Coturnix japonica: one gene and its partners. The protein of the gene in region 6 interacts with the protein of the main gene of each other region in a pairwise test. Links are inferred from orthologs where the notes say so. Each region holds a gene or a part of one and is shown on either strand. Other genes may lie near its edges. The genes, in order: ZC2HC1C, CWF19L2, PDLIM1, zinc finger protein 436-like, UBASH3A, GFAP and ABI2.

The links.
Region 1: the proteins of GFAP (region 6) and ZC2HC1C interact in binary tests that used the Homo sapiens proteins (3 or more experiments, as listed by UniProt). The link is inferred for Coturnix japonica from reciprocal best matches to the Homo sapiens genes GFAP and ZC2HC1C.
Region 2: the proteins of GFAP (region 6) and CWF19L2 interact in binary tests that used the Homo sapiens proteins (3 or more experiments, as listed by UniProt). The link is inferred for Coturnix japonica from reciprocal best matches to the Homo sapiens genes GFAP and CWF19L2.
Region 3: the proteins of GFAP (region 6) and PDLIM1 interact in binary tests that used the Homo sapiens proteins (3 or more experiments, as listed by UniProt). The link is inferred for Coturnix japonica from reciprocal best matches to the Homo sapiens genes GFAP and PDLIM1.
Region 4: the proteins of GFAP (region 6) and zinc finger protein 436-like interact in a two-hybrid assay, tested with the Homo sapiens proteins (2 studies listed by BioGRID and IntAct). The link is inferred for Coturnix japonica from reciprocal best matches to the Homo sapiens genes GFAP and ZNF774.
Region 5: the proteins of GFAP (region 6) and UBASH3A interact in binary tests that used the Homo sapiens proteins (3 or more experiments, as listed by UniProt). The link is inferred for Coturnix japonica from reciprocal best matches to the Homo sapiens genes GFAP and UBASH3A.
Region 7: the proteins of GFAP (region 6) and ABI2 interact in binary tests that used the Homo sapiens proteins (3 or more experiments, as listed by UniProt). The link is inferred for Coturnix japonica from reciprocal best matches to the Homo sapiens genes GFAP and ABI2.

Annotation. Positions count from the first base shown.
Region 1 is NC_029520.1:34,610,768-34,614,547, reverse strand, and holds the end of ZC2HC1C (zinc finger C2HC domain-containing protein 1C), read right to left. Parts: intron 3,074-3,780; coding exon 2,810-3,073; 3' UTR 828-2,809; downstream 1-827.
Region 2 is NC_029516.1:161,585,689-161,589,332, forward strand, and holds part of CWF19L2 (CWF19-like protein 2), read left to right. Parts: intron 1-1,017; coding exon 1,018-1,173; intron 1,174-2,150; coding exon 2,151-2,231; intron 2,232-3,644.
Region 3 is NC_029521.1:13,996,919-14,000,582, forward strand, and holds part of PDLIM1 (PDZ and LIM domain protein 1), read left to right. Parts: intron 1-717; coding exon 718-872; intron 873-3,664. UniProt on the Homo sapiens protein: Cytoskeletal protein that may act as an adapter that brings other proteins (like kinases) to the cytoskeleton. Involved in assembly, disassembly and directioning of stress fibers in fibroblasts.
Region 4 is NW_015439867.1:518,977-523,774, reverse strand, and holds the start of zinc finger protein 436-like, read right to left. Parts: upstream 3,196-4,798; 5' UTR 3,098-3,195; intron 2,857-3,097; 5' UTR 2,837-2,856; coding exon 2,773-2,836; intron 1,945-2,772; coding exon 1,377-1,944; intron 1-1,376.
Region 5 is NC_029516.1:98,572,183-98,577,095, forward strand, and holds the start of UBASH3A (ubiquitin-associated and SH3 domain-containing protein A), read left to right. Parts: upstream 1-1,720; 5' UTR 1,721-1,746; coding exon 1,747-1,859; intron 1,860-4,913. UniProt on the Homo sapiens protein: Interferes with CBL-mediated down-regulation and degradation of receptor-type tyrosine kinases. Promotes accumulation of activated target receptors, such as T-cell receptors, EGFR and PDGFRB, on the cell surface.
Region 6 is NC_029542.1:784,999-788,027, reverse strand, and holds the end of GFAP (glial fibrillary acidic protein), read left to right. Parts: intron 1-581; coding exon 582-667; intron 668-818; coding exon 819-860; 3' UTR 861-1,929; downstream 1,930-3,029. Other genes in the region: Ig-like V-type domain-containing protein FAM187A, read right to left, coding at 2,753-3,029.
Region 7 is NC_029522.1:11,947,386-11,951,742, reverse strand, and holds part of ABI2 (abl interactor 2), read left to right. Parts: intron 1-837; coding exon 838-1,017; intron 1,018-1,669; coding exon 1,670-1,828; intron 1,829-4,357. UniProt on the Homo sapiens protein: Regulator of actin cytoskeleton dynamics underlying cell motility and adhesion. Functions as a component of the WAVE complex, which activates actin nucleating machinery Arp2/3 to drive lamellipodia formation.

The DNA of each region.
Region 1 (3,780 bases), on a different chromosome or scaffold from region 6:
GAGGACTTACAGGTTCCTTGCTATGGGAAAAAGTGTCATGTTTTCTGATTCTTAGGAGCAAAAAAAAAGGCCCTTTTATTGCTGTATCTCCTGGTGACGTCAGGGGCCCTTTTGTGTGTGTGGCTTTTCAACAGTTTTAATGCCAAGTGGGAAATGAGTAACAGGAAGAGAAAGGTTCACAGGGAAGAAGCACCTGTTTCTCTTGAACAGCTTTAACTGAGCATTAAGTCTATGGAGGTGAAAACCTGACTGGTATCAGCTCAGCAAACTGCTCCTGCACGATGTACTTAATGCCTGTCACCTCTAAGCATTTTATTGGGGATTTCTGTAAGTTGTGAAATGCCTGGAGAGGCAGAGCTGGGTCAGAAACTTCACGTTCAGTCAAGAATCAGAAAGTGAAAATGCAGCATGTCTCTGAGAGTGGGATCGTACCATGGTAGAGGAAGCTGAGCCAGATGGAGTAACACAGCTTGGGTAACCCTAACTGTGACAGCAAAACAGCAGGGCAAATCTCTGCTGTCTTACGTTACCTGAGAAATTAGCTCAGCAAAACAGGGTGAAGCGCTCAAGGCTAGCTCTGAAACAAACATAATGAAGTCTAGTGATTTAATTTCAATAGCTACTTTTGCTTAATCTACAGTTTCAATTCCAGCATCAGCTCCTTGCCTGTTACTTAAGGAAAGTCCCCAGTTGATTTATTTTACCGTATCAAAAGCTTTTGTATCTATCTACCCCAGTGACCATTTGTTGACTTTTAGGATCCACTAAACAATAAGAAAAAACATACTGCAAGGAAAATGGAATCAATACTACAAGACAGTCAGTGGTACTGAATTTCTTAACTACTTTTTAATTCAGTAGCATTTTCATTAATTCAAGACTGTGGGAATACAGCTTTCAGTTTATTCCTTTCTTACCCCTTTTCTTGTCACCTCTTGCTATCCTCTTATCACCCTATGTTAATAAGTTCTGAAGTTAAAGCATTGCTCTTATTTTCCAGTCGGTTTGGATACAGTGAAGTCTTTTCCCTTGTTTTGAGTCTGTTTTTCTCTCTTCTCTGGGTTTGCACATTCTTATACATACCTGGCTGACAGTGCAGTACTGACCCTTTCTGGGACCTTCGTGTTTTTCTAGGGTGTGCCACAGGATTGGGATCTCTGCCCACATGTCTATAGGTCAGAAGCACTCCAACTTCTTTCAGGAGTCTGGTCCACCCATTGCAGGCTGGGGAGTTCCTTCAGATTCAGGTTTTTACTAATCCAGTTCAATCTGGTTGCTTTTTATCTGTTCTTGTTGTTTTCTTTTTCCCTCAGGCTCCTGTGAGGAGCTGGCGCTGCATTGCTGAAGGATTTGCAAAAGGAGCTGCTGGAACTTTTTTTGTTCCTTGTTTGCTTCCTGTTGCAACTTTCTCATACAAAGTAGTCGTTCTTACTTTGAGAACAAAAAACACTCTGTGACCATTTAAAACAACTTTTTACAAAACAGAAATAGGCTAATATTAGACTAGTCTGAAAATCAGAATCTGGAAAAAAAAAGACAAATATGCAGCAACTGTTACCACTTTGGAGCAGATGCCCTTCTCCAAGTCTGTAGGACATCTATTCCCCCCCAAAGACCCTTTAATAGTTTGTGACAAACAAAGCCCTTCAGCATAAGGCCAAAATAACCAACAACTCCCTTGCACCTCACCCAAGAAGGGGCAGATTTTTGTCACGATCACCTACAATTGCAGCATACAAAATGGAAACAAAATAGATGACTTAAAGAAGGGTTAAAGCCCTGTTTCAGAGGTCCCTATTACCTTGACCTGCAAGTAAACTCCATCTTTTTGATATTAAATCTAGTTGTTGATTTACCTGTTGCACTGCCTGTTGTGAAGTTCCTTAATGTACTGCTTGGTTATTTTATTACTGTATTGGTTTCTAGCTGTAGCTGTTCTTGAATGTTTTAGGTGGAAAGTAAATAGAAGCTATGTTAGGAATCAAGGGGAGGTGGCTGTGGAAATTCCTTCTCAGCTCCTGAAAGTGATGCACTGAAGTACAGTACTATCGCTGGTTGTTATTTGCACTTTTTATCATGAGCCTGAAGATGGAAATGAAGAACTGTGACACGGAGCATTTGTTTCTTACTCCTGCAGTACAGTCCCCTCCGTGATCTTCTCAAAAGTCCATCCTGAAACAATGTAGGTTCCTTGCCTCTGCTAACCTAGTTGGAAGATTTTTCCATGACCTCACTCTTCTGATTAGAAAACTAATTTCCAGTCTAAGCTTATTCATGGCCTATTTTTTGATCTTGTGTGGCATTATTCTTTAATTGAATGTTTTTCTTCTCCTCTTTCCCAAGTCCAAGTCCCGGTTATTGTACATAGTATGTAATCACTTTGACATGGCTGTTCTGCTGCCTGAAGGGCCTGGCCAGTACAGAGCATCTCTGCTGTCCTATGTATGTGAATTGACATACGGACCTGCACAGTAAGTGCTGCTGCTGCTGGTTCTTCTACCCCCCATGAATTTCTGAGCTGAGGTTTATGTGTTGAAAAAGTATTTAATAATGTAGCCTCAAATTCTCCTAATTGAATAACACCATCATTTTTTATGCCTGGATTTCTCAATGGTAGTACATTACACTCTTCTGCTGGTAGGAAATGAGAAGAGGTAGAGAAGGCAGCCCTCAGAAGGGCATCACAATCCAGCACACAGATTTAAGTACAGAAACTTTTATATTCTGCTTATATGTCCTGAACTGTTTACTTACTGTAAATCTTGCTCAACACTCACAGCCAGTGTTGAGAACAAAGAAAGCTGCCTTATCAGCGTTTCCTCTGTGGGGGGAATGAGGGTCTATTCTTGATGTTCTTGCATTTGGGAATGTGTGTCTCAGCTACTTGGGGTGCAAAGCGGCGCCTGCAGTAGGGGCAGGCAGTGTAGTCTGGATTTTCAATGGGAGGGAGCGGAGGCAGGTCAGACACCTTCCCTCCCTTGGACAGTACTTGTTGCACCTGTCGAGCGTGGCGCAGGGTCTGGATGAAAGCCTCATGGTTCTGCTTCCAGTTGTTCCTTCTGGGTGGCTTATTCTGCAGAAGGGAAATGCAGTCAGAGCTGCAGGCACCGCTGCCAGCCTCCATCCTCAGCCTTGCTCTCAGGGTCCAATTCTAGACACCTCTCCCTGAGCACTCTTAGTTGATGTAAAACCTCCCAGGGAAGCTGAATCCCACCAAGCACCAAGGAGGGTTTGATGGAGTTACTGATGCAAACATCACTGCTTAGAAAAGAGCTTGAGAATGAACAAGAAGCAGGCAGTAGCACCAAGGAAATCACTGAATGGCTCAGGTTAGAAGGGACCTTAAAGATAATTGAGCTCTAACTCCCATGCCGTATGCAAGGCTGCTAACCACTAGACTGAGAGATCTAGATGCTGAAGCTCCTCTGAAGGAACAGACGTGCATGTTTCCACTGCCCTCAGATTGCTAGTCCATTTTATTACCTGTTTTTTCAGTCATTTCCCCACAGCCCTCCACTGTCACAGTTCTTTACCACAGCACACCCAGTCTGCCCTGATGAGCATCCTGACTACAGCAAGGAGCGAGTTTTCTCCAGGAGTACCCCCATGATGCATTACATAGACAAGTCAGTCAGAAACAACACCTGCTCATCCCCAACCCGATCAGATTTCATATGGATCCACTTATTCATCTTAGCAAGTGCCTTCCAGAGGCAGTGGCTGGGTTGTGTTCCTCAGCCCTGTGTACTCATGAGGGTGCTCATGTGTAAGAACTAGATC
Region 2 (3,644 bases), on a different chromosome or scaffold from region 6:
GGGACGCGCTCGTTACCGGCCTCCACCTGACATAGAGGCATTGACCACCACCCTTCTGTCCTGCGGCCTTCAAACCAATTGCTTTATCCATCTAGTTGTCCACCCATCAAATCCACCTCCCTCCAATTTGGAGATGAGGATGTGATGGGGGACCATGTCAAAGGCCTTGCTCAGGTCCAGGTAAATGACATCGGTTCGCCTTCCCTTCAACCACCAACTGCCGTACTCCATCATAGAAGGCCACAAGATTAGTTAAGCATGACCTTCCCCTGGAGAAGCCATTGGTGGCTGTCTCGGATCACATGCTTGTTCTTTATGCGATCAAGCATGTTGTCCAGGAGGATCCTGTTCCATAATCTTCCCAGGCACACGAGGGTGAGACTCACCGGCCTGTAGTTACCCGGGTCGTCCCTGCTCCTTTCTTGTAAATGGGAGTGACGTGACCTCTTCCTCCAATCATCCGGGACCTCACCCTGACAGCCACGACTTCTCAAATATGGATGGAGAGCGGCTCAGCAACTCACCTCAGCCAGCTCCTTCAGGACCCTGGGATGCACGCCATCTGGCCCCATAGACTATACTCATTCAGTCCTAAGGAGGCACTCTCGGACTTGCTCCTGCCCTTACAGTGGGGAGCGGATTTACCCTCCTTGGTCCCCACATGGAAGGTATGGGGTGCAAGACTTAGGGAGTGAAAAAGACTAGAATCCTGGCCACCAGTGAAGACCGAGGTGAAGCATCATTCAGCACCTCAGCTTTCTCTTCATCTGTTGAAGCCATTCTCTTTTTAAATTTACCAGAGTAGGTCGCCCATTTTGGCCTGTCTCTTCTGGGCCAATGTACCTGTAGAAGGTTTTCTTATTGTTTTTCACATCCCTCGCCAAGTTCAGTTCTGCCTGCTTTGTTCCATTTTATTATGATTTTCTAAGGAATTTTATATCTATTAGTGAAATAATATATTTTATCTGGAAGCTTTGAAAAGCTAATTCACATTATTCATTCTTTTTCTTTTAACAGATGTTTAGAACAGCACTGGTGAAAATGTTTGAGGCTAAAGGCTTGGACTGTGTCTTTATGGAAACAAATATGAGTATGAAGAAACGATATCACATGGTATACGAATGCATTCCTCTTCCAAAAGAAGTAGGAGATATGGCTCCAATCTACTTTAAGGTATATGAAAAAGCTTTAGGTCATTTGAATGCATTTAACTTATAGTATTTCTGGAAAAGTTTTCTTATATTGAAGTGCCAGTTTTGAATAGGTAATTTTTTTTTCTGGTGAAGAAATGTTTATTGATCTTTGAGCAAATGTATTGATTTAGTATCTGGAAAAGAAGGTTTTTGAAGGGTAAATTTGAATGAGTGCACATACTTCAGTATTTATGAGTAAATTATTTTATTTGTTCTTTGAAAATATTCTCTGAAAATAAATAATATAATTGTTTTAATGAAGTGGATGTCAGTGTGATGAATAGCAGTGCAATAACTTTTATGGCACATTTGTAACTCTCCACGTGGCTGATTTCATTGGCTATGTTTTAAGTGCATTAAGTATTTTCTTTGAAAACTAGCAGAAAGGTGAAACACAATGTCATTTGTGTTCAGAAATTTTCCACCATTAAAATACACAGTAAATGAAAAATAAGAAGGTACCTACACTTCCATACTATGATAGATGCAGAGTCAGCTTTACAAGTCTTTGAGTGCAATCAGACGTCTAATTTGGATTTTCCTTTTGGAGTTCAAAAATGAAAAAGGGAAAGAAAGATAAAAGATAAAAAAAAAAAAAAGACTAATATGGCATAATGAAATCAGAACAAGTTTATTATGAGCTCAGTAAAAAGAAATTGAGACCTTTTACTCCCTAATAATTTGAAAGTTTCTTGTTAGAGATAGCTTGTCAGGCTAAAGAAAGATTCCGGGGGAAAAAAAAAAAAAAAAAGGAATAGAATTAAGTGAGTTCCAAGATATTAAATGGTTCCTCTATAAAGTATCTAAGTTCTCGAAATCAGAAAGATTACCAAAAATAAAATTACTTTGTTAAGAAATAGCTCATACTTGCAGTGCAAAGTTTGCTTTACTCCATTGGAAAGTGAGTTCTTTGCTGTACGAAGGCCTATCTTCTCATTTGGATAAATGATTTTACAGAAAGCTATAATGGAGTCTGATGAAGAGTGGTCCATGAACAAGAAGATAATTGATCTCTCTTCAAAAGATGTTCGGAAATCTGTAAGTAATGAAATGTATTGAACACTGAAATTTTCAGCAAATTGCTTTAATCTATTTAAGTTATTAACTGTTTCAAAGAGAGAAGAAAAGGAGCGCAATTAAATTAGTGGATCGGGAGATGGCATAGACGTGATGAGCATTGGAGTCTGACTGAACTCATAATTGATGTTAGAAAAGATTCCCATTTATTTCAACAACAGATGAACTGAGCTGCAAACATTGCTTGAGAACAAAGCTGGCATTTTGAGTACATGTACCAGCATAATTTTCTTGATTAACTTTAAGAATTAAGATAGATCAAAGATCTACAAATTGCTGTCTGGGAAAGAATATGATGTATCTTTTGCATTGACCTGGAACAGCCTTTGGTGTTGCTAAGTTTATGAAGTGAAGATGCAAATAGTGCTATAAATCTTTATTTCTAAAACAAAGGAAATGTTTTTTTCATATAAATCTTGAAGGAATAATGCTAAAACTGTTAAGTTCAAAAATTGGTCCATAGATATACTTTGGGTTTCTTCTGCTTCTTGGCCTTTCATAATAGGGAAAGCCAACACCTGTCTCAATAAAACAAAGTATAATTTTCTTGTCTTGTGATAGAGCATCGGGACATCTTTTTTTTTTTTTTTTTTTTTTTTTTAATGAACCATATGATTTTATAATTGTTTTATATACCCATTTGAAGGTAGATCACTTCTCAAATTAATTCAGGGCTCTTCTTTAAATTAATAAACTGCATCTGTGTGTAAAGTGTTTCACAGTTCTCTAACTTTAACATAATTTTAGGATAAAAAACAAAATAAATGCCTTCAAGAAAATATTGAAGTACAATTTAGGGTCTGACCTGAGGGAAATAGAGGGTTGTACTATGAAGTGGTGGTGTGTGGAATGAGAAGCAGACATGACTGTGACATTTAATGGTCTGATTGTGTGCAGAAATTGGGATTCTAGGGGCGGAACCCTAGCACACGAGCCTGAGCAGCCAATGCTCTTGCATGGTATCAAAGCCTTTCTGTTTCTTACTCTTGACCTTCCAATAAACAAATTCAGGGGCAAGCAGTGGGCTGGGAGGGGGCACAGCTGGGACAGCTGACTGAGGAGCAAGCACTCTTCAGCAATAAATAAACACTGGTATATTATTATGGTGTATACTGGCCTAGTTACCAGTCCAAAACGTTGCTTCGTTTGGGCTGCTCTGAAGAAAATCCATCCACAAGCAATATAAGGAACACTGAATGAAAGTTTTCAGTTACTTTAGCTGTAGCAGAGAAGATACGTATGAGTTTGAGGCTTTGTAAACCTTACTGTACAGGAACAAATTATAAGCAGATTGTGAAATTATCCACTTTGGCAGTTAATCATAATTTCCTTCATCTAGTTGGGTTTTCCAATAATGTATTCTCTGTAGAGGTG
Region 3 (3,664 bases), on a different chromosome or scaffold from region 6:
TAGTCACAGAGGCAGCAGCACCTCAGAAGGCAGCTAAAGTGAGGGCTCAGCCTTAGGAGGCAGAAATCTCTCTGCCTCTGAGGTGCTCATTAACCCCACTGAAATGATGTAAATGGGCACTGGCTCTGGGTCCTTAGATAGGGGATGAATGGACATAATGTCCACTTGAAAAGCAGAGAACTATTTCCAATCAGAGGATCCTTTACCTGGCTCCTACAGCTGCTACTGTGTGAAGGTGGCTTTTATGACCACTTCATAACACACTTGCAAAGATGCGTATTTTTAAAGGAATAAAGCTTACTGAATTTGAGAGTCATGGCAGTGTAAGGTAGCAGTCTCAGGTGGTTTAGGTGTGTTGGGACCATGCAGTGTTGGCAAAGCTACTGTATGGGACTCCTATCCCAGCACGTGTTCTTTATTGTCCTGGTTCTGGATGAAGCAGCAATTGGGAAGCAGACGAAATGTGCTGAGGCTGGCCAGGGGTGGTGAGTGAGAATCCGATGACAGCAGGGCATGTGGGTGGCCCAGCGCCTCAGTCCCACTGGGGCTGCAGCTGTCTTCTGCAAGCACATCCGGCACCTCTGTCTCATGGCATCCTGTTCTGCCTTTGTTTGCACGTTCTTCTCTCAGTCACGTGATGCATTGCCATAGTTTTGCTAGAGGGACTTGCTGTAGTGTTTAGCCGTTTAATAGTTGCGTGTTGTCTTCCTTCCTCAGTTTAGATCAGCATGGCCATCCCTCAGGCAGCATTGCCATAGACAGAGACTCTGAGGTTTACAAGATGCTCCAGGAGAACCAAGAGTCGCACGAGCCACCCAGACAGTCTGCTTCCTTCCTAGTGCTGCAGGAGATTTTGGAGTCAGAGGAGAAAGGTAAGCCTGCCTGTGCGCCCTTCCTTTCAGCCTTTCCTTGGGCTGTGTATGGTGTCTCAGAGTAATGTCTCAAACTTTGTTTTCCTTCCTTAGCTGTTGCTTCTTCCAAGGTATTATGTGTAGGTGCCTTCCACAAAAACTGTAGTCCCTTTCACCGACTTTACTCTTATATTTCTTCAGCTAGTTTCGACGTCTATGGATACATATTGTTACTCATTTGATGACCAAATGGTGAAGAAATAAAAGCCTACTACATTTAGTTCTTAAGAAGTAATTCTAAAAGTTGCAAAAGCCTTCCGGACTGTCTCAAGTTTTGCCCCTATTGGAAAATATTCACCCATTTAAGGACCATCTTAGATTTATGATAACAGGTAACACAAGGTCTTGCCCCTTAGTGAGTCTTAATGCTCCCAGGTACCATCCTTCTATGGGAGGAAAAAGGGTCCCCTTCTGCAACTGAATCTAAAAACTTAGAAGCGATCAGTTTGCAGTTCTAAACCTGTGAAAACTTTGTGCTGCTTGGCACACAATCTGCCATCTGGACAGTGTGTAGATCAAGGCTATAGACTTCTAGATAAAAAACTCTGATTAACTTAGGTGGGAGCCAAATCACACTCCCTTCTGCCTTTAAATAGAGTAAAATAAACAAATAATTAGGAAAAGAATTCCAGGAATGACTTTTTTTTTTTTTTCCTCCCCTCTTAAACCGGTTGAGACTTCATCTGTGGTGTTATTGGCTTGCAGTGAAGCATTCAACTTCATCCAACAAAAGCATGGTGCTGAGATATCAGAAAGGAAAACTGCTCAGCCAAATGCTGTTAGACCTAAGTGATCTGTAAGGGAACAGTAAAATGAAGGAAGTAAGGAAACAAAAGGAAGAAAGAAAACAGGATTTTTGAGTCTTTAATCTACTGTTAAAATTCCTATCTGAAAGCATCTTAATAATGAGTGTTTGCAGCTTACCCCTCAGGGTTCAGCTCCTGCATGGAAGGGACTGGAGGAGCCAGGACTTCTCACGCATCTGAGGTCCTCCCCTGTGTTTAGTAGTGCTGAAGAAGATAAGAAGCAAAAGCCTCTCTAGTTTATCGTTCTTTGAAGATTTGCAGCATTACTGGGATTCTCTGGCACGAGGTTTGCCTGCTTGATCACAGGCCAGGATAGACTTGGGCATTGCTCTGCCGTGGGCTGTAATCACCCATGCAGAGCAAGGTTACACAGCCCTAGAGGATATGGTGCCCTGGCTCACACACTACTACTGCTCCTGGCTGAGATAGCATCCTTGGCAATAAGTGGCACCTTTTGTGGGATGTTCCTCTGAGCTTGTCTTCAGGCATTGGCTTGTGAGCAGCAGCAGGGAGCCGTCATCTCCCCAGCCAGGGCCAGTCCTTGGGGCATTGCCAGAGGCATGGACTGTGCTGATCCACACCAGCTGGAAGGATGGGGTCTGTGTGTGGGTGCTGGTGTGGGGAAGCATGATGGCTGCTCTCTGTTTAGATTTGAGCCTGCTTGCTGAGGCTTGTGGTGTTTCAGAGAGTGGAACAAGTTATGTTTCCTTGGGCGTTCTGTTAAGCTGATTCCTTTAGAGATTTAAAAATGTGCTGTCAGTGTTACTGATGTGAACAAAGTGCTGTTCAAAGCAGAAAAGGCAAGCAGGGGGATAGGGTAGAGCCTGAAAACATAGCTGCTGCTTCCTTCTCAGCAAGGGGATGCTGCCAGTGATGGGGACAGCAGCCAGGTGCCTCCTGGTGTGATTGAAGGGCCCATGGGTTTTTGTCTCCTGTAAGGCATCTCTCAGCACTGAGCTGGTGCAAGCCTCAGAGCCAAATGCCACTGTGTAGGAAAAACTGCTTTAAGCTCAACCTGGGGTGCACTGTTTGTGGCTGTGTAAAGCAGTGTGGTGGCACTCAGGCTGGGTGGCAGTGGGGTGAGCAGTGCCCCAGCTTTTTTCCTTGTTTCTCTGCCAGTGGTGCTGCCCTGGGCTGTGAAATGTCTCAGACCTTGCTGTTCACTGGGGTGAGCCGCTCCCAGGGTCCTTCTTCCACTCAAAAGGATCAGTGGGTGTACTTTGTTGGCTTGGTAATAGTCAGAAGGGTTTTGTGCCACCTCAATGTGGGGAGCTGACATGTCTGCTTACCAGCCTCCCTCTGGTCCTGTTCTGAATCTGTATCCCTTCTTCCCCTCTTACCTGGTACAGGCAAAAGTCAGATAGATAATGCTAGTTGTACCAATGGTATCATTTTATTAGTTGCTTCCTTTTCACTGCAAATATTAAAAGGCTTGCCTCCTATCCAGTGTCTAGGATCCACTACTTTTGTAGGCATCCAGATGTCTCCTTTGAAGGTCCTGCAATTGGGAAGTTCTGTCATCCCTGGAGTGGGCCACATGCCTTGTATCCCTGCAACAAGGAGTTTGTTAACCAAATCCTTCAGGAGCTGTGAGGGGAGCACAACACCGTACACCAGACAGCAGAAAGGAAAAGGCTTTGACAGCCTTATTGACTGCTGGGACACCCACTTCCTCTTTCTGAACCCAAATCTAGCCAACAGCTTGACCTTGAGTGTGCACTCAGGGCACGGCAAGCAGGATCTGATGCATCTGAGGCTGTGACTTTGCTTTTGCTTTGAATCTCTGTGCATGTGAGATGTATTAGCCAATATCTGATGGGCCTTTAAGATGAGAAAAGGGCAGTATCTCATCTTACGGCCCACCATCTCAGGCCCTGGGTTTCTGGAGCCAGGCCCAGCTGTGTCCCTTCTCACCCTACACCCTGCACACCCAAAGTCCCTTCCTCC
Region 4 (4,798 bases), on a different chromosome or scaffold from region 6:
AGCGGCGGTGGCGGCGATGGGGGGGGGGAAAAAAACGGGAGGGGGGCGTTGGGGGGGGCCGCCGGAACAAGGAAAGATCTAGGCGCAGACCCGGACCCCCCCCGGCCCCGGGGAGAGGCGGGCGGATGCGGCGGGGCCGGGAGATGAAGGGGGGGGGCACGAGGCGGGTGGGGGGGGGGCAGCTGCTCATATCCCCGACCCCTCGCAGTCATTGGGCAGAGAATACCGCTGCCCCTCTCCCCCCCCCCCCGGCATTTTTCCACATTTATTTATTTATAATTTATTTCTCCAAAGCTGCCATAGGCTGAGAGTTGAGGTTTCTTTCCCTTTTCCCTCTTATTGTTATTTCTTTTTCTAGGGGCTGCCGCACCGTTTTGGATGGGGATGGGGGAAAAACACGCAGCCCTTCCCCCCAGCCCCACGTTCCAGCTTTGTGTAACGGCTCCGGATCTGACCCCAAGCACTTCCCCGTCCCATTAATTCGTGGCTGGAAATGATGCAATGAGGGCAGCGCCTGCTGAGCACTCAGCGAGGCCTTAATCCCCTCCTGACCCGGGGCCCTATGTCCCCATCCTATCCCCATCCCCATCCCACCCCCATCCCTATTTGATCCCATCCCATCCCCATCCCATCTCTATTTGATCCCATCCCATCCCCACCCTATCCCCATCCCTATTTGAGCCCATCCTGTCCACATCCCCATCCCTATCTGAGCCCATCCCATTCTCATCCCCATTGAATCCCTGAGCCCATCCCATTCTCATCCCCATCCCATCCCTATTTGAGCCCATCCCATTCTCATCCCCATCCCATCCCTATTTGAGCCCATCCCATTCTCAACCCCATCCCATCCCTACTTGAGCCCATCCCATCCCCATCCCTACTTGAGCCCATGCCATCCTCATCCTTATTCTCATCCTCATCCCCATCCTGTCCCATCCCCATCCCTAAACCCAACCCATATCATCCCCACCCAATTCCCATCCCAAACCCATTCCACTCCATCCCCATCCCGCAATGCCAGCCACACATGCAGGCTCATGCCAACCAGTGCAGGTGTTATTCCTGCCAGCACCACACTCTAACTGGGAGAACTGGAAAATCCATCCCTACTGATCCATCCCATACAAAGCGCAGCCCCATCAGCTGCCCTACAGCACGACCCCGGCCGGGCAGTGCAGCTCCAGCACCTTTTATTGCTTTGGGCTGTAGATCCCACCACCCTCATTGCGCTCCATGACCCCATCCCACTTTCCACCCATCAGCTTTTGGGGTCTCTGGGTGATGGGCTGAGCACCCCACAGTCCCCATGCTGGGAACACAGATAAAGGGACCGGGACCAACGCTGCTCCCCACCCATAAAGCCACGTCCCCACTATGTTGAGTGCAGCTTCTGGTGCCGGCGCAGCTGGGATTTGTGGCGAAACCCCTCCCCACACTCCACGCAGATATAGGGCTTCTCGTCGCTGTGGGTCCGTCGGTGCCGGTTGAGGTGTGAGCTGCGGCTGAAGCACTTCCCGCAGTCCGGGCAGGAATAGGGTTTCTCTCCGGTGTGGGTCCGCTGGTGCTGGATGAGCGCCGAGCTCTCGCTGAAGCGCTTCCCGCAGGTCCCACAGCTGTAGGGTTTCTCCCCGGTGTGGATGCGTTGGTGGGTGACCAGGTTGGAGTTCTGGCTGAAGCCCTTCCCGCAGGCCCCACAAGTGTAGGGCTTCTCCCCGGTGTGGGTGATGCGGTGTCTCACCAGGTCTGAGCTGCGGCTGAAGCCCTTCCCACACTCCCCGCAGATGGTGGGGCGCAGGCGTCCGCCCCGTAACCCCAACAGCTCCTCCAGTGGCCCCATAGCATGTGGGTGCCCCAAAGCTCTGCCATGGGGCTGCGCTGCTGCTGCTGCTGCTTTGCGACGCCTCTTTGCAGGGCGAGCTGGTGCCTCACTGCCAGGATGGGCTGCAAGGAGAGCACGGCTGGGCTCCGAGATGTGGGGCTGTGACTCCTTCACCCCTTCCCCATCCCCTTCATGCCTCCTTTGTCCCCTTTACACCTTCTTCGTCCCCTTTGTGCCTTTCCCACCCCTTCTGAGCCTTCCCTGTTCCCTTTGCTCCTTCTCTGTGCCCTTTGCATCCCCTCCATCCCTACTCCCCCATTTCCATCACCCTCTCCATGTCCTCTTCCCCTTCTCTATCCCCTTTGCACTGTCCCAATCCCTTTTCCACCCCATTTCCATCCCCCCTCTCCCCATCACCTCCACCACCTCTGCCCCCTCTCCATCCCTTTTCCATCCCCTCCACCTGCATTTCCCCACTCTTATCCCACTCTTCATCCCCTTTGTGCTTTTCCCACCCCCTCTGCTCCATCCCTGTTCCTTTTCCACCCCCTCCCCCCTTCTTTCCCCTTCTCCATCCTCCCCACCCCAATTCCCAATTCCTCCACTCCATTCCCATCCCTTTATCCACATTTTCTCCACCCCCTCTGCCCCTTCCTCATCCCCTCCCTGCTTTGGGGACACCCCCGCACCCTAACATTGGTTAGGGTCCCCACTCTGTGAGACATCCTCACTTTATGGGATCAGGGCATCTTCCCGCTGTGCTATTGAGATACTGCCATATTATGGGATGCGGGCACCCGCCGGCACCGGGACACTCCCACACTGTGTGATCAGAGCACTCCAGGACCCCCACCCCAAGATCGGGTCAACCCCTCACCCCCACGCGTGGGACCCCCCCTCAGCTTCCCGGCCCGGTCCTGGTGGGGGGATGACGGGGTGGGGGGGCTCACCTGTGGCAGCGCCTTCAGAGTCCCGAGGGGGGTCCGGGCCGGAGGGCCCCCCCTCTGCGTCCATCACGCTCCGACGGGAAAACGCTGTTGGGGGGCGGAGAGCGGCGGGGGTGGATAAAACAAAGCAAAGAAATTGGGTGAGACGGAGGGGGGGGGGGTTACAAACACCGGCCGCGGCACCAGGACCCCCCCCCGCCCTCCCGCACTCGCACCGCAGCTTTGCCCCCTCCCCTCCCCTCCCCGAGCTCATCGGGGCTGGCAGTGGGGGCTGCAGTGATGGCGCAGCTCTTGTCCCCCTCCCCCCCCCCAAACAAATACAACCCACCCGCGGTGGGGATGGGGACGGGACCCCCCCCGGCCGGGGGTTGCGGGGGACCCCGGCGCGCGGCCCCGCGTGGTGCTGGGGGGGGGGGGGGGCGGTTGATTTCAGAGGGGGTTATGGGGAATTGGAGCCCCCCCAAACACACCGTTTTGTGTGTGGGATGGAGGGGGCACAGGGGGGTCCTTTCTGCCCCCATCCATGTTTACAGCTGGTGGGGCTGAGAGGGGAGGGGGCGGGGGGGGGGGCGGCACGGGGGCATCCCAGCACTTCCCACCACATCCCATTATATCCCAGTATGTCCCAATGCACCCAGCACTTCCCATTGCATCCCATTATATCCCAGTATGTCCCTGTGCACCCAGAACTTCAAGTGCATCCCATTGCATCCCAGTACGTCCCAGTGCACCCAGCGCTTTCCATTGCATCCCATTATATCCCAGTACATCCCAGTGCACCCATTACATCCCATTGCATCCCATTATATCCCAGTGCACCAAGCACTTTCCATTGCATCCCATTATATCCCAGTACATCCCAGAGCACCCAGCACTTCCATTGCATCCCACTGCATCCCATTATATCACAGCACTTCCCATTGCATCCCATTATATCCCAGTACGTCCCAATGCACCCAGCACTTCCCATTGCATCCCACTGCATCCCATTATATCCCAGTATGTTTCAGTGCACCCAGCACTTTCCATTACATCCCATAGCATCCCCCTGTAACCTATTGCATCCCAGTACATCCCAGTACATCCCATTACATCCCATTGCATCCCATTACATCCCATTACATCCCATTACATCCCATTACATCCCATTACATCCCATTGCATCCCATTGCATCCCATTGCATCCCATTACATCCCATTGCATCCCATTGCATCCCATTACATCCCATTACATCCCATTACACCCCATTACATCCCATTACATCCCATTACACCCCATTACACCCCATTACATCCCATTACACCCCATTACACCCCACGGTTGCTCGCTGTCCGGGTGCCCCCCGGTTGCCCCCATCTGTTGCTCTGCCCCACTCTGCCCTGCAGTAATGGCGATACTGGAGTTCACTGGTGTGAACTGGTCCCAGTGTCACCCAGCACAGGGACAACAACGTCACCCCACAGGTGACACCCGGTGTTACCCCAATCCCCAGCCCCACGGGGACATGGTGTCACCCCTATGGGAACACGGGGACACCCCGGTGTCACCCTATAGGAACACAGGGACACCCCGGTGTCACCCTATAGGAACACGGGGACACTCCGGTGTCACCCCATACTCAGACCCGCTGTCACCCACCGCCCAGCGCCGCCCCGCACCCCCGAACCCCCCCATTGGGGCCCCCGGCACCCGCTGGGAGAGCAGAGGGAGCGCTGATTGGTGGAGAGCCGGCTGGGGGGCGGGGATTACGCGGGGCGGCGCCTGGCGATTGGAGGAACTCGGATCGTGGGGGCGGGGCTGATGAGAAGGCGGGGCTTATCGGGGCTCCGCGCGCTGATTGGTCGAGAGGGTAGAGGAGAGAGGTTAGGAGTCCGCCGCGCATGCGCGCCTTCTTTCGCCTTTCACTTCCGTGTTTCGGCGGCTACTTCCGCCTTCAGCTGGGCCTGGCGGGGCCTGCGCCGGTTCCGGGCTCCGGGTCCGTTCCCGGTTCCGGTCCGTCGCCGTGTCCGGGCCGCACACCCTCCTTAC
Region 5 (4,913 bases), on a different chromosome or scaffold from region 6:
ACACGTTTTAATCATCCTAAGAGCGTAAAGTAATATTGCAGTATTTGCAAACCTTTCTGTAACCTTCCAGGCAAAGAAATACCACCGAAGTTAAACCACGCGGGCTTGTGCTTGCTCATCTTTTATCAAAAACTGTGCAGTGAAGGAGTCTGCCTACAGCCCTGAGTGGCAGCAGGAAGAGACCCAAGTGTTTCTTTGTGTTGTCATATTGGGACCTTGGATGATGCTCCTTCTTCACTTCCTTACCCTTTGCTGTATGCTCATAGCAAACAGCACATTTAAACAGGGGTTCTGGGAAAACAACAGCAATAACAACACATATGTTAATTGTGGATAACTTCCATAATCAAGCATTGTACAACCTTTTGGGAATATTTTTCAAACAGTAGTAACTCATTCCTGAAAACAGTGTGCCTGTATTGAGAGTGTTGTATCAGCTTCTTTTCAGTCTGGGCTTAGAAAATGAAAACTTATGTTCAGCTTTGTAAAATACTTAGAAGTAGTCCTAATTTGGCTTGCAGTTTTTCAGTAAATAGAGAGATGATGCTGAAGGGAGAGTGGAGGGAAAAAGGAGGAAGAGAGATGAAGTAAAAGGTCATGGTAGTGTAAGTGAAACAAGACTTCCTTAGAGACCGTGGAAGAAATGGTTTTCCATGAAAATACTTCTCTGTGTCTTCCTGCAGTGAGAGAAAACAGTCAGTCCCTTCACCATGTGGGATGGAAGCTGGCACTTAGAAAGGACAGAGCACAGTTTTCTCGTTCACTGCTCACATCCATCCTGTGCCATTTGCATTGCTCAAATGCTCTCCTCACCAGGCTTCAGAGGTAAAGACTGGGAGAGGCAGCCCAGACTGCTGAGGTGCCCCAAGGGGAACTTCAGCCAAGGAGATAGTAATGGCTTTTTTCTTGAGACCAGCAGCTGTAGAGACCCTTTCATTCCCATCCTTCCTGGGTGACAGGGTACCCTCAGCAAGGATAGCCAAGGCCAGGGAAAGCTGTCTCTGCCATTTTGCCTGCTCTGACCACCCTTGGAGTCCCAACGATAGGCCATATCCACTTTTTGAATTCTCCATTAGTAGGACAGCACTACCAGAAAGCACAGGCCTCACTGAGCTGCCTCTCAGAACTGCTCCAAGCTCAGACCCAGGGCATTGTGTCTAGATGGGGAGCCTGGTTTGTCCTTGTACAGTTGGTCAGCTGGTGGACTATGGCTGTGGCCACAAGGGTGTCCAAGTACAGCTGAACTGGAGAATATGAATGTTGAGCCCAAGAAGAACGAGTTCAGCCTACAAAACAACTTCTTATATGGTGCAGGAAGTCCTTTCCCTCTCCAGTAGAAGTTCAGATGGATTTCTTGGCTTCGAGAAGAGAATTTAAAATGAAGAGCTAGGAGATCCAGTCTCAGACTGTTCAGCAGGTCCACCCTGACTCTAAAATTTTCACTTGGACAACACATCTTGTTCTGCTAGGGCAGATGGGAACAGCCTGCAGATACTTTTGCTTTTTTAACTACTTTAAAACAAAAACTCAAAGACACACAGGTTACGAAAACAGGATGTCAGGATGATCTTTTGTCAGAATAGATCACAAGAAGTTTGAGGGGTTTTTTTCTTTTTTTTTTTTCTTTTTTTTTCTTTTTTTCTTTTAGCTGCCTCTTTCTCTTTCTCTCTCATTTTCTTGCCCCCTCCCCCCTCCCCCTCCTAATTTCTGTCAGCACTGCGCATAGCTAGAGGGAGAGAGGAGGAGATGGCGGTGGCTGAGACACAGCTGTATGCAAAGGTGTCCAACAAACGCAGGAGCAAAAGCCCATCTGCACTCCTCGAGTCTCTCCTGGCCAAAGGATTCCCAGCTCACATCGCGTGAGTAATGTTTTCAGTTGCTTTTGTACATTGAAAGGTGGTTCTTGCATCTGCTTAAATGCATACAGCTTGCGTTTTCCATCAAGAGAACGTGCCGCTTCTTGGGGGAGATATCTCCACAGGAGGAGCAGGTCTGTCTCACTTTGAATACCTTGTAGAGCACTGTGTATTGATCTTACTGCTGAAACAACTTGTTCTGTACCCATTTCTAAAACTACTCTGGGTATCTGAAAGCACATGGTCTTCTGCACCCGGAATTTGAGAGGCTTCACAATGAGTTAAGAAGTTGATATCCATAGTTCACTCTAGGGATGAATCCTTTCTTTTTTTTTTTTTTTTTTCTACTTAACACTGTTATTACAAGGAAACTAAATGTGGATGTGGCTTCTATACAAATATTTTTTCAGGCCTGGCAAACAAAAGTTCTGTCTCGGTTTTGTCACAGGAGACTGTTTTAAAAGGGTAAGCTTTCCTTAACAAGATGCCACATTAGTCTTTCTGTCCTAAAAATGAATCTTGTTTCAAAAGTATGTCCTACCAGGAAAATGTCAAGCCCTGTCCTTGGCAGCTCCATCTGAGGTAGGATGAACTGGTGGCAGCAGTTCCAATTGAGTTAATAAAAACTCAGTTAATAAAAACTAGTAAATAATCAGTTACTTGAGGTCAGCTCTTTCCCCAGATATGGCTCTGGTCAGTAAGAGAGGCCTGGAGGTTTTACAGAGCGTCAATAAATTTCTGAAGGGAATTTGGACTGTTTGGACTCTGTGGTGGCAGCCAGTTGTGCCATTGACTTAAGACTGAAGAAAATAAGTCCTTCCACTGAAGTGTCAAAGAAGTTCTTAAACAAGTGTTTGAAAAAGGACATAATTATCACTGTAAACTCCATTCTAGACTGAAAATTAAGCAAGCTGATCAGGCTCTGTTTTTTGGGAACAACTGATGCTTAGTGAAGCATCTTTAGATGTGATGCGCACAGTTTACAGGGAAGCTGTGGGTTCCTTATTCCTGGTTATGCCCAGTGGAATTTTAGCTGTGGAGCTTAAAATCTGCCTTGTTGTTTTTCTAGTAGATAGTATAAGTATGGTCACCCCAAAATAAAGTCTAGTTTCTATTCTGTATGTTATGTTCTTCAAACTGCCTTCAAAACATTTTCTTCGGTAATTGACGTGGCTTTGTGCTTTCCAGGCCAAAATCAAGACACAGCAAAGCGCAATGCAACATAAAATGGTAGAAAGTCCAAAAGCACTTTATTTATTTGTTTGTTTGTCTTTACAGACTTTAACACATCTAAAAATTGGACTGTAGTTTATAAAGCTTTTTAGCTGTTTCCGTAGGTCTTGGCCTCCGACATAAAAGAAAGTTCTGAAAATTTGCTCTTTTGTGACATCCTGGCCTATGAAAAGTAAGCCTTGTTGAAAATATTTATTTTTATTTATTATTTACATTATGAAATGCTTCATAATGTTGGACAATCATGCAAAAGCAACATTTTCAGAAAGTACAAAACACTAAAACTTGATGATAGAGCCTACCAGCAGATGAGCATAATGAATATCTCATGCTCTGATAGAACTGAAATGTGATCGCTGTTTTCTGCCTTAAGGAAGAACCAGCTTGTTCTCCCTGTAAATATATTATTTTGAATGCAGATTTAAAAAGATTTATTCCTACAGTTTATCTGAACGAATTAGGCATGTACAGGATTTATCGTATGCATTATCTTTTAACCTCCGCTGCTCATCTTGGAAGCGCAGGATGTCTAATTACAGCCTAATGTTTTAATAACACTGAGGGCTGAGAAACCCTGCTGGACAGCATCCTAATACCAACTTTATATGATGGGATGAAAGATGGAAACAGACACAGAGAGGAGCGTGGGGGAGCAAGGAGATGATGCTGAGCATCATGACAGGCCGTGGCCCCAGGTCTCCAATTGTCTTATTACTTTTACGATCGCACAGAGTTTATGTAAAGAAAAACTGCTGTCAAGCTCTGCTTGTCTTTGGGGCTGTTTACAAAAAGCTTGTCTCCAAATGGGAGGGGTGGCATGGCATAAAGTGATAAAACACTCACAGTGAATTGTAGCAGTAGGTGACAAAGTTCTGGCCAAGCAGAAGTAATCATTTACATTCCAGCAGGGTATGACAATAAAGGCTGCATGGGGAGCACAATGAAAACACAAATTGTTCATGTTTGATGTGATAGAGAAGAGAAGAGTCAGCAGAGAGGCGATGCAGGTCACAGAGGAAACAGGGCCACTTTTGATCAACTAGTTCATGCTTTGGGGATTGATTTGGCCATGGTAGTCAATTTTAATTTTAGAGAGGAGAAAGGTAGAAGGTAGAGCTTGAGCGGAAAGACTCGAGTTAGTCTTCAGCTGTGCTGATCCTCCACTAAGAAGCCAAGTATGGTTGCACATGCACACATGTATATTTAATTGTTTTTAACAGACCCATGTGTAGTTTTACATTAGAAGGAAAAGTCTGGGAAGAAGCAACCACAGCAAGATTAAGACTTGCTCCTTAACGCACCTATGGCACTCTAGTACATGCATAGGTGCCATACGGATGGAGGGAGGATAAAAATGTGAGGACTGGGTTAAGCAAATGGATGCCCTCAGGACACAGCTGTCAGAAAAGATAACCTTAAGAAAGAAGGAAGGATAAGCAGATGTGGAGTAATTTGGCAGTTTTTCTTCCATTTCTACTACCTCTCATTCCCTTTCATGTCACTTTTGAGAAGTTTACAGGTGGATTGCAGGGCTGGAGATGAAACACTGTGAACCCTTCAGCCTTCAAGAACTCAGTATTTGCTCACAAAGACTCTGTCACGTAAAGGATGTCAATGGCATTTTGAAAACTCTAGCTATTCTCCTCTCTGGTGACCAGCGATAGAACCTGTGGGAACTGAAACAGGGTTGGAGGTTGGGAAAAGGTTCTTCACCAGAGGTTGGTGGGCATGGAATGGGCTGCTCTGGGCAGTGGTCACAGACCCAAGAAGCTGGAATTCAAGAAGTGTCTGCACAATGCTCTCAGACACAGGATTTGATTTTTG
Region 6 (3,029 bases):
GATATAGAGGGGATGAGCACGATGCCATGGCCACGTCCCCAGTGCCGACCATTCCCCAAGGGTCAACCCTGTTGCTGAGGCCAATGATGTCTCTAAGGCCAACCTCAACAATGAGGGTAATTGTGTTCTGAGTGCCAACTGTGCGCCCATCACCAGCTGTGTCCCCAGTACTGCCCTCATACTCAGTGTTGACCACAGCTCAGTGCCCACCATTCCCCCAAGCACGATGCTGTCCCTAAGGCCAACCACATCTCAAAGCAACCCATGTCACCAAGGCCAACACCACTGATGAAGCCAATCATATCCCCAGTGCCAACTGTGTCCCCAAGACCAGCCACATTCTGAAGCCAGACACATCCTCAGTGCCACCTTCATACCTAAGGTCACAACCCAGTCTCCAGCCACAAGGTCCCCAACCACAACCCAGTGCCAGCATTCCTCCTGAGGCCTATAGCGTTCACTCCCACAGATCAGGATTTTCCAGCCCAACTAGTTCCTTTTGGGACCCTTCAAGGTGTATGGGGTGGAGGGGTCATATATGGGGCACTGGGTCACCAACCTGTCCCATCCATGTCTCCTAGAAACAAGCCTGGACACCAAATCTGTGTCAGAAGCTCATTTGAAGAGAAGCATTGTGGTCAAAACAGTGGAGACAAGAGATGGAGAGGTGGGAAGTCTTCAACTGCGCCTTCCACACCCTTTCCCCTCCATCCTCAAGGTGTCCCCAAGGGGGGATGTTTGTCATGTGCACGGGCTCTGTCCCCAGACATGTTTAGATGGACTTGATGGGGTGACAGTCCCTCTCCTTCTGCTTCCAGGTGATCAAGGAGTCCAAGCAGGAGCACAAGGAGGTGGTGTAGAGTGTGTGATTCATAGCCACGCTTGTAGCTGTAGCTCCATAGATCCCACCCGATGCTGCGATGGAGCCCTGTGGTGGGGCCACAGCCACAGGAGAAACCCACCCTCACCTCTCCCACCACCCCATGCCCCAGGGACTCCTGTGCTGGTCTGGCCAGGGCTGAGATCTGGGGGCATTGCTCCACACTTCCCACCTTGCTGGTGCAGGAGACCACCTTGAGCATCCCAACCATGTCCTGAGCATCCCTGGGAGGGCTGGGGGGAACACAGCACCGCATGGTCAGGGATGTTTTCCTGTTGCCAAGCAGCAGTTGGGCTTAGCCAAGGCAGGAGGAAGAGGAGGATGGAGCATATGGGGAGGCAGGTCGATGTTGGGATGGGGAGAAGGGTGATGGTGTGGGGTCTGAGCAGGGTGCCTGGGGGTACAGAGTGGTTGTGGGGCTGGAGCAGCAATGGGCACAGCAGGGTGGGAGTCTTTGTTGGCTTTTCCAGGGCACGGTGCCATGGGACTGTTCTGACCCTAATGGTGTGTCCCCCACCACGGTGCTCCTATCTCCAGAGATGCAGAGACAGTCAGGGGGCTCATGGCCCGAGCCCAGCTCTGCACAGGCATTCTCGAGGGGCTGGAAGAAATCTTGTCCCTCAGCTCCACGTGGCCCTGTCTCCTGTGCTCTCTCCCAGTGCATGTCACCCACCTGGGGCCCCTGCAGACCCAATACTCACTTTGTTTTAGCCACTGACCATGAGCTAAACGTGCCCTGCTGCCACCTAATGCAGCAGCACCCACTCACCAGCAATCCCCTTGCCCTATAACGTGAGCCCATAGGTTGCTACATGGGTACTGCCTCCTCACCCTGCTTATCTCCACATCCTCTAGCTCAGCACAGAGCTTTGCAGCTCCTAATTCCACAGGGACTGTTCCCAGGGCAGGATGTGTTATAGAGTGATAGTGCTGCGGGTCACTTTGTCCCCCATGAGCTGGATGGAGCTTTGCAGCCCTTATTGCTACTGGATTAATGCCCTAATGTTGCAACAACACGAGATGCGAAATAAAGCCTAACACAAGTGCTATGTCTGTGGTTGTGACTGTAACCTGCAGGACAAGCTGCAGGGCGGTGTGTTTTTGGGATCAGCCGGGGCAGAGCTGATCAGAGCATACCCCCAGCTGGAAGGGGGACGTGGATCAGAGCCCAGCTCCTGGCTCTGCACAGCTCCACCCAAACCTGTACCCAAACCCTATGTCTCAGAGTGGTGTCCCAATGCTCCTTGAGCTCCAGCCCACCACGTTGTGGTGCAGAAAGAAAATAAAAATGCATAAACTCAGCTTCTTAAAAATGAGATTGCTCCAGCTGAGGATCTTGCACAAACATTGAGTGTCTTGAAATGTTGGTGCCCTTTGGGGCACAGTTGGCACCAGGAATAGGAGGGTCCTTGTCACTGCTGTTGGCCTTAGTGGGCAGCTTTGGGCTGCAGTTGGCCTTGAGGAACACATTTGGCACTGGGGATATGACTGGCACTTTTTAAAAGGTAAGGGAAGCCAGAATTAATTGGAGTAGAACAGTCTGGAGGATTACAGTGGCCTCTTAGAAAAACAGCCCTAATAAATCACCGACATGGCAGAAGAACTCCATGGTGTTTAGCCAGAAAACACTGCAACGACTCCAGCTATTCATTCAAACAGGATTACTGAGGTTAAAACCCCACCACAAGCCTTCAGTGTGGCCAGGAAGTGACACAGTGGTGGCAAATCCCTGCCACAGCGCAATGGGACTTTCCACTTTGGTCTTCATCACAGCACAACCCCGAGTGGAGGATAAGAGGGCACGAGCAGCATTTCTAGTGGTGAAAACCATAAATTGCCCATAAGGGAATGGTGCAAGGTGTAAGACTGATGCTATGTCCTCGCTGAGGACCGCAGCATCCGCCAGCAGCAGCGGCTCAAGTGGATGCTGAAGAAGATGGCCCCAATGAGGATGTAGCTCACACTGATGGCCTTGAGGATGTAGATGGTCTCGGGGTCAGTAAGCTTGCGGCGGCTCTTGGACTCGTAGCTGACGGTGAGCCGCAGTCCGGCCACCAGTTTGCCCTCCCTCCAGCAGAAGTAGGTGCCTCTGTCACTGAAGCGGACCCGCCGGATGTGCAGGTGGTTTCCGTGGTCAATGAAGACTCTC
Region 7 (4,357 bases), on a different chromosome or scaffold from region 6:
TGCAGTCATTGAAAATTGCTTGCTATTGGTAGCGTTAATTTGAATAGAGTAATATTTTTTTTGAGAGTGTCTGAGGTACTGCAGAGTTCATTTTATGCGTTACTTGATTTACAAATGTTTTTTGCCTGGCTGCCTGCATGAAACCAGATAGAACACAGTATCTTTTTTGGTGGGCAGGGAGAAATTTATCCCTTTTAAGCAAATTGATGCATTTTCATTGACTGTTCATGCAGATCTATAGCAGCTTGCTTTTAGACAGTTGGATTAAAAGAGAGGCAGGCAGAGAGTAAATCCTTAAATACACAGTGCAAGCCTAGCTGAGTTGTCATAAAAAAGTGCTCGTTTACTGTAACTACACCTGTCTTCCCAGAAATAGGAAGTGATGTTAGTGCTCCTTGTTCAGCACTTTCGGTGAAAAAGAGCATATAGTTTTGGCTTGCAGTGTGATCTGAAATACATGATGTTTTTGAACCAAAGGAGCACTTTTGTCTTTCTTCTTCTGTATATTTGTACAAAAACTCAATGCAGCTATGCTACAGATTACAGCCTAAATAACAAAGATTAAAGACATCTTTCAAAAGTAATGGCTCTCACTGGAAGGTTCTAGGTTGTTACCTTCAGACCTGGAAAGAAGCAGCAGGTTTGCTTGACCCTCATGAAACTGTCTACGTAAGAATGAGTCTTTCTTTAGTAGCTTCATTTTTCCCTCATCTCCTTGTGCATTCTAAAATACTATGCATCTAGTAAGTAGCTAACACTGAATAGTCAAAGGCTTTCAATAATCCTTGCTAACATATCTCCCTATTAACGCCACCTCTTCCTCCTCTCTTCACCTAGCCCCCGCTGGCTCATCTGGCACTTCTCCCCTTCCTTCTACCTCTGCTCCTGCCCCCACCCCTCCTGCTCCAGCCCCTTCCTCCTCTACCCCAGATGCTGCTGCTGCTGCAGGAGCCCAGCCCCTTGCTGATGGCTTCACCTCTCCAACTCCCCCTGCTGTTTCTTCCACGGCCTCTACAGGTGAGTGTCTGCTCCCTTGTGTGGGCAGATGGGCCCAGATGTGATCACGGTCTGAGGCTTTACAGAGCAAATTTTCAAGGAGTTGCTTCAATTGGTAACTCCTGAAAAACAGGTCTTTGAGTATGATTTCATTTATCCCATCCATTCAAGTGGTTTATAACGTTCTCTTCTCCCCAGATGATTCTCTGTATATTTCAGGAGCAGCAACAAGATATTTAGCATTGTGTTTTTCTGTGAATAAGAGCAAACAGTTTGTACATGTTGTGTTGCTTGACAGCTGGAGTGCAAAGTGATATTTTTTGCAGGTTTATAAATGAGAACTTCTTATAAATTCAGTTATTATAATAAGTTTCATAAAATGGATAAATGAAAGTGATTTTCTTTCACTTTATGGCATATGTACCTTTGCATTTTCTTTTTTGTATGTGTGATTAGTGATGATTACAGGCAGTTGGAGGAGTTTGGTTTTTTTTGTATTGCTGTTGAGACACGCAGTGCTCTGACAGTCCGGTAGCTGAGCTGACTGCTTATAGGATGTGGATTGTCTGTAAAAGAACAGAGATGTTTCCTAGCCTTTGAATTCTGAGTGGAGCTAAAAAAAAATAACAGGCATAATCCTTCCCTTGGTAACACATTTCTTTTTCTAACCCAGGCCACCCAGTTCAGTTCTACAGCATGAACAGGCCTGCGTCTCGACATACGCCACCAACAATAGGAGGATCCCTGCCATATCGGCGTCCTCCTTCAATCACGTCACAGACGAGCCTTCAGAACCAGATAAATGGAGGACCTTTTTATAACCAGAACCCAGGTAAGAAAGGTTATCTGCTGTGATGAATGCAACGCAGGGTTGAATTGACTGACTTTCAGATCTCTGAAATCCTACATTTTGTCTCCAGCTCTTGCAGCCAGTCTGAGGTAACTTCCTGTACGTTGCTGGTAGCCGTGCTGAAGTGGAGGTGTGAGCACAGAGCATGCAGCTGTCATTATGGCACACAGCTCAGGACAATTTGGCTCTTGTTGTCAGATAGATTACTTTTGATCTCCCAGGATTTGCAGGATCTGTTGGACACCCTTCAGTCCTTTACTACACTATGTGTATAATGTAGCTGCTTTGGTGTGGAATAAGTATTTGGTTTTGCAGCAAAACACTGATTCTTCATTAATCAGTCTGTGTGCTTGTGTGCTTTTTCCTTGTGATTAACCACCAGTTCAGTAAATTGTTCTTCCTATATAGCGGTAAGTGTTAGAGATTTTAGACATCAGTGGTGTTTGGTACAGAGTGCAGGGGAGCTATGTCCCTTGTGAAGTTCCATATGTGATGTTATTCTAATGGATGACCTGTGCTCAAAAGCAGGTTGAGATTTTAACAAGCAGTGTTGTCGTGTATGTTGGGGAATTCAGCAGCTGTTCATCTCTGCTGTCCTCCCTGAGCTTCTGAGGAGAAGTGAAAGTATTGATGTGACACTAAGGGACGACTTTTCTTACAAAGCTACAATGCTTTGTAAGAAAATGCAAGGGATGCAAGGGACACAGTGAAAGTTCCTTGTCAGCAAAGTCAAGTCTGAAAGTTGATTTGAAACACTGTAGTGCTACTGTGTGGGTACTTTTGTTGATCATCTGTTTGGCTTTGTTGTTTTACATGAAGCATTGAATTAGGAATTAGGTTAATTGCTGCAGTTTGAGTTTAAGGGATCTGGTCAGGTCCAAATATTACTGCTTGTGAGTCAGACTGTGAAGAGATGCACGTGATTAACTTGAGAAAGAAGCAGGTGGTTCTGCTGGGGACAGAGAGGGTACAGGAGTTTGTATGAGTGAATTGCAGCTCTGTTGCGTGAAATACATGGTATTTGTTAGGCACGTTATACGCATGTTGAATTTTGAAGGGGAATAAATAGGAAGGAAGGGAAAACAGCTATAAAGGAAACATTTCAACATTGCTTTTTGCAGTATAGAGAATTTTCACTGCATCCAGACACATATGCAATTTTAGACAGCATATATAATGCCATTGCAGGTAATAATAAAGTTACCAAATAGACTTTATTTAAATTGTGTAAATGAAGGTCAGTCTGAGGACTCAAAAGGAAGGTAATGATTATGGTTAAGATAAAACAAAGAATGATGTCAGCTAGTGTTAACATCACCATTTTGATTAAACTCTGTGATCCAAGCACAACAAAGGGGTTTTTGTTGTGTTTGCCTAGAGTGCTTGTCTAGAGTGATTTGTCTTTCTACCTGGAAGGCCTTGTTATCTCCTTCAAGGACTTACATGCAGTACACAACATGCACAGAAGGGACCCGGGAGACCAAAGGTAGTCTCATATGGTACACAGGAAGCGTATGATTTCAAGTGATTTTGAATAAGGGAAACATTTTGAAACTAAGTATTTTTATAGTATATGTAATTAAAAAGGTGGTGACTTCATAGCTGGACAGGAACACTGCATTCCTGAATGCTGTTGCATTTCAATAGTGCTTCAAATTCAAGTTCCCTTTTCCTCTTTGGGAAATGCAAGACCAGGTCTTTTCCCAGAAGTTGTGGTTACTCCTGAAGAAATGTATTCTCTCCAAGGTCACCTCACTCAAATCAAAGAAGCTGTAATTAGAAATGTATATTAAGGTTTCCCAAGAAATACCAGTTAAGTGGTGAGGTAATGGAGCCTGCTTTATATGGAGGTATGTGGATACTCTTAACAAAGCAATGGTTACTCCATTTTGGTTTCTGTGTTTATTTTGTTTTGTTTGTGATGTGTGGTAGAAAAAAGAAGGTGAATGTGATTGGCAGAAGAAATTCAAAGTGCTTGTGAAAATAATTGCTAAAATGAGCAAACACTGTATTTTGAGATGTGAATTTAAAGTAACTTGGGCTTTTTTTTTTCCCCCATTTGCTGTGATGAGGGGTATTAATTCTGAAAAATGCTCAGTCACGCACTGTAGCTCTGGGATTAGACTGAAATTTAATTAGCTCACATCAGTAAGGTAAATAAACGTACTGGTACATGAAGTGTAGATTTATTTTTCTCCCCGCTATTCTCTTGGACATGATTAAATGTCTGCGTATGCCACGCTACCAAGAAATGACATGGTTGTGCTTTTCCTGAGGTGTGCTTTCTGGAAAATATTCCAAGAACTTTCTTGAAAAAAAGAATTGTCTTGCATTATCCTTACATGGTGAGACTCCAGTTTTGTTAACTAGAATTAACTAGTTTTTTGTACTTAGAGAATAAGCTCACTTATCTAATCAAGTGGATTTGCACATCTTGCACAAAAACAGCTTTTTCCGTTAGCAGCAAGCCTGCTGCTCAGAGTTCAGTGGTTTGCAGAATAAGGCAGAAAG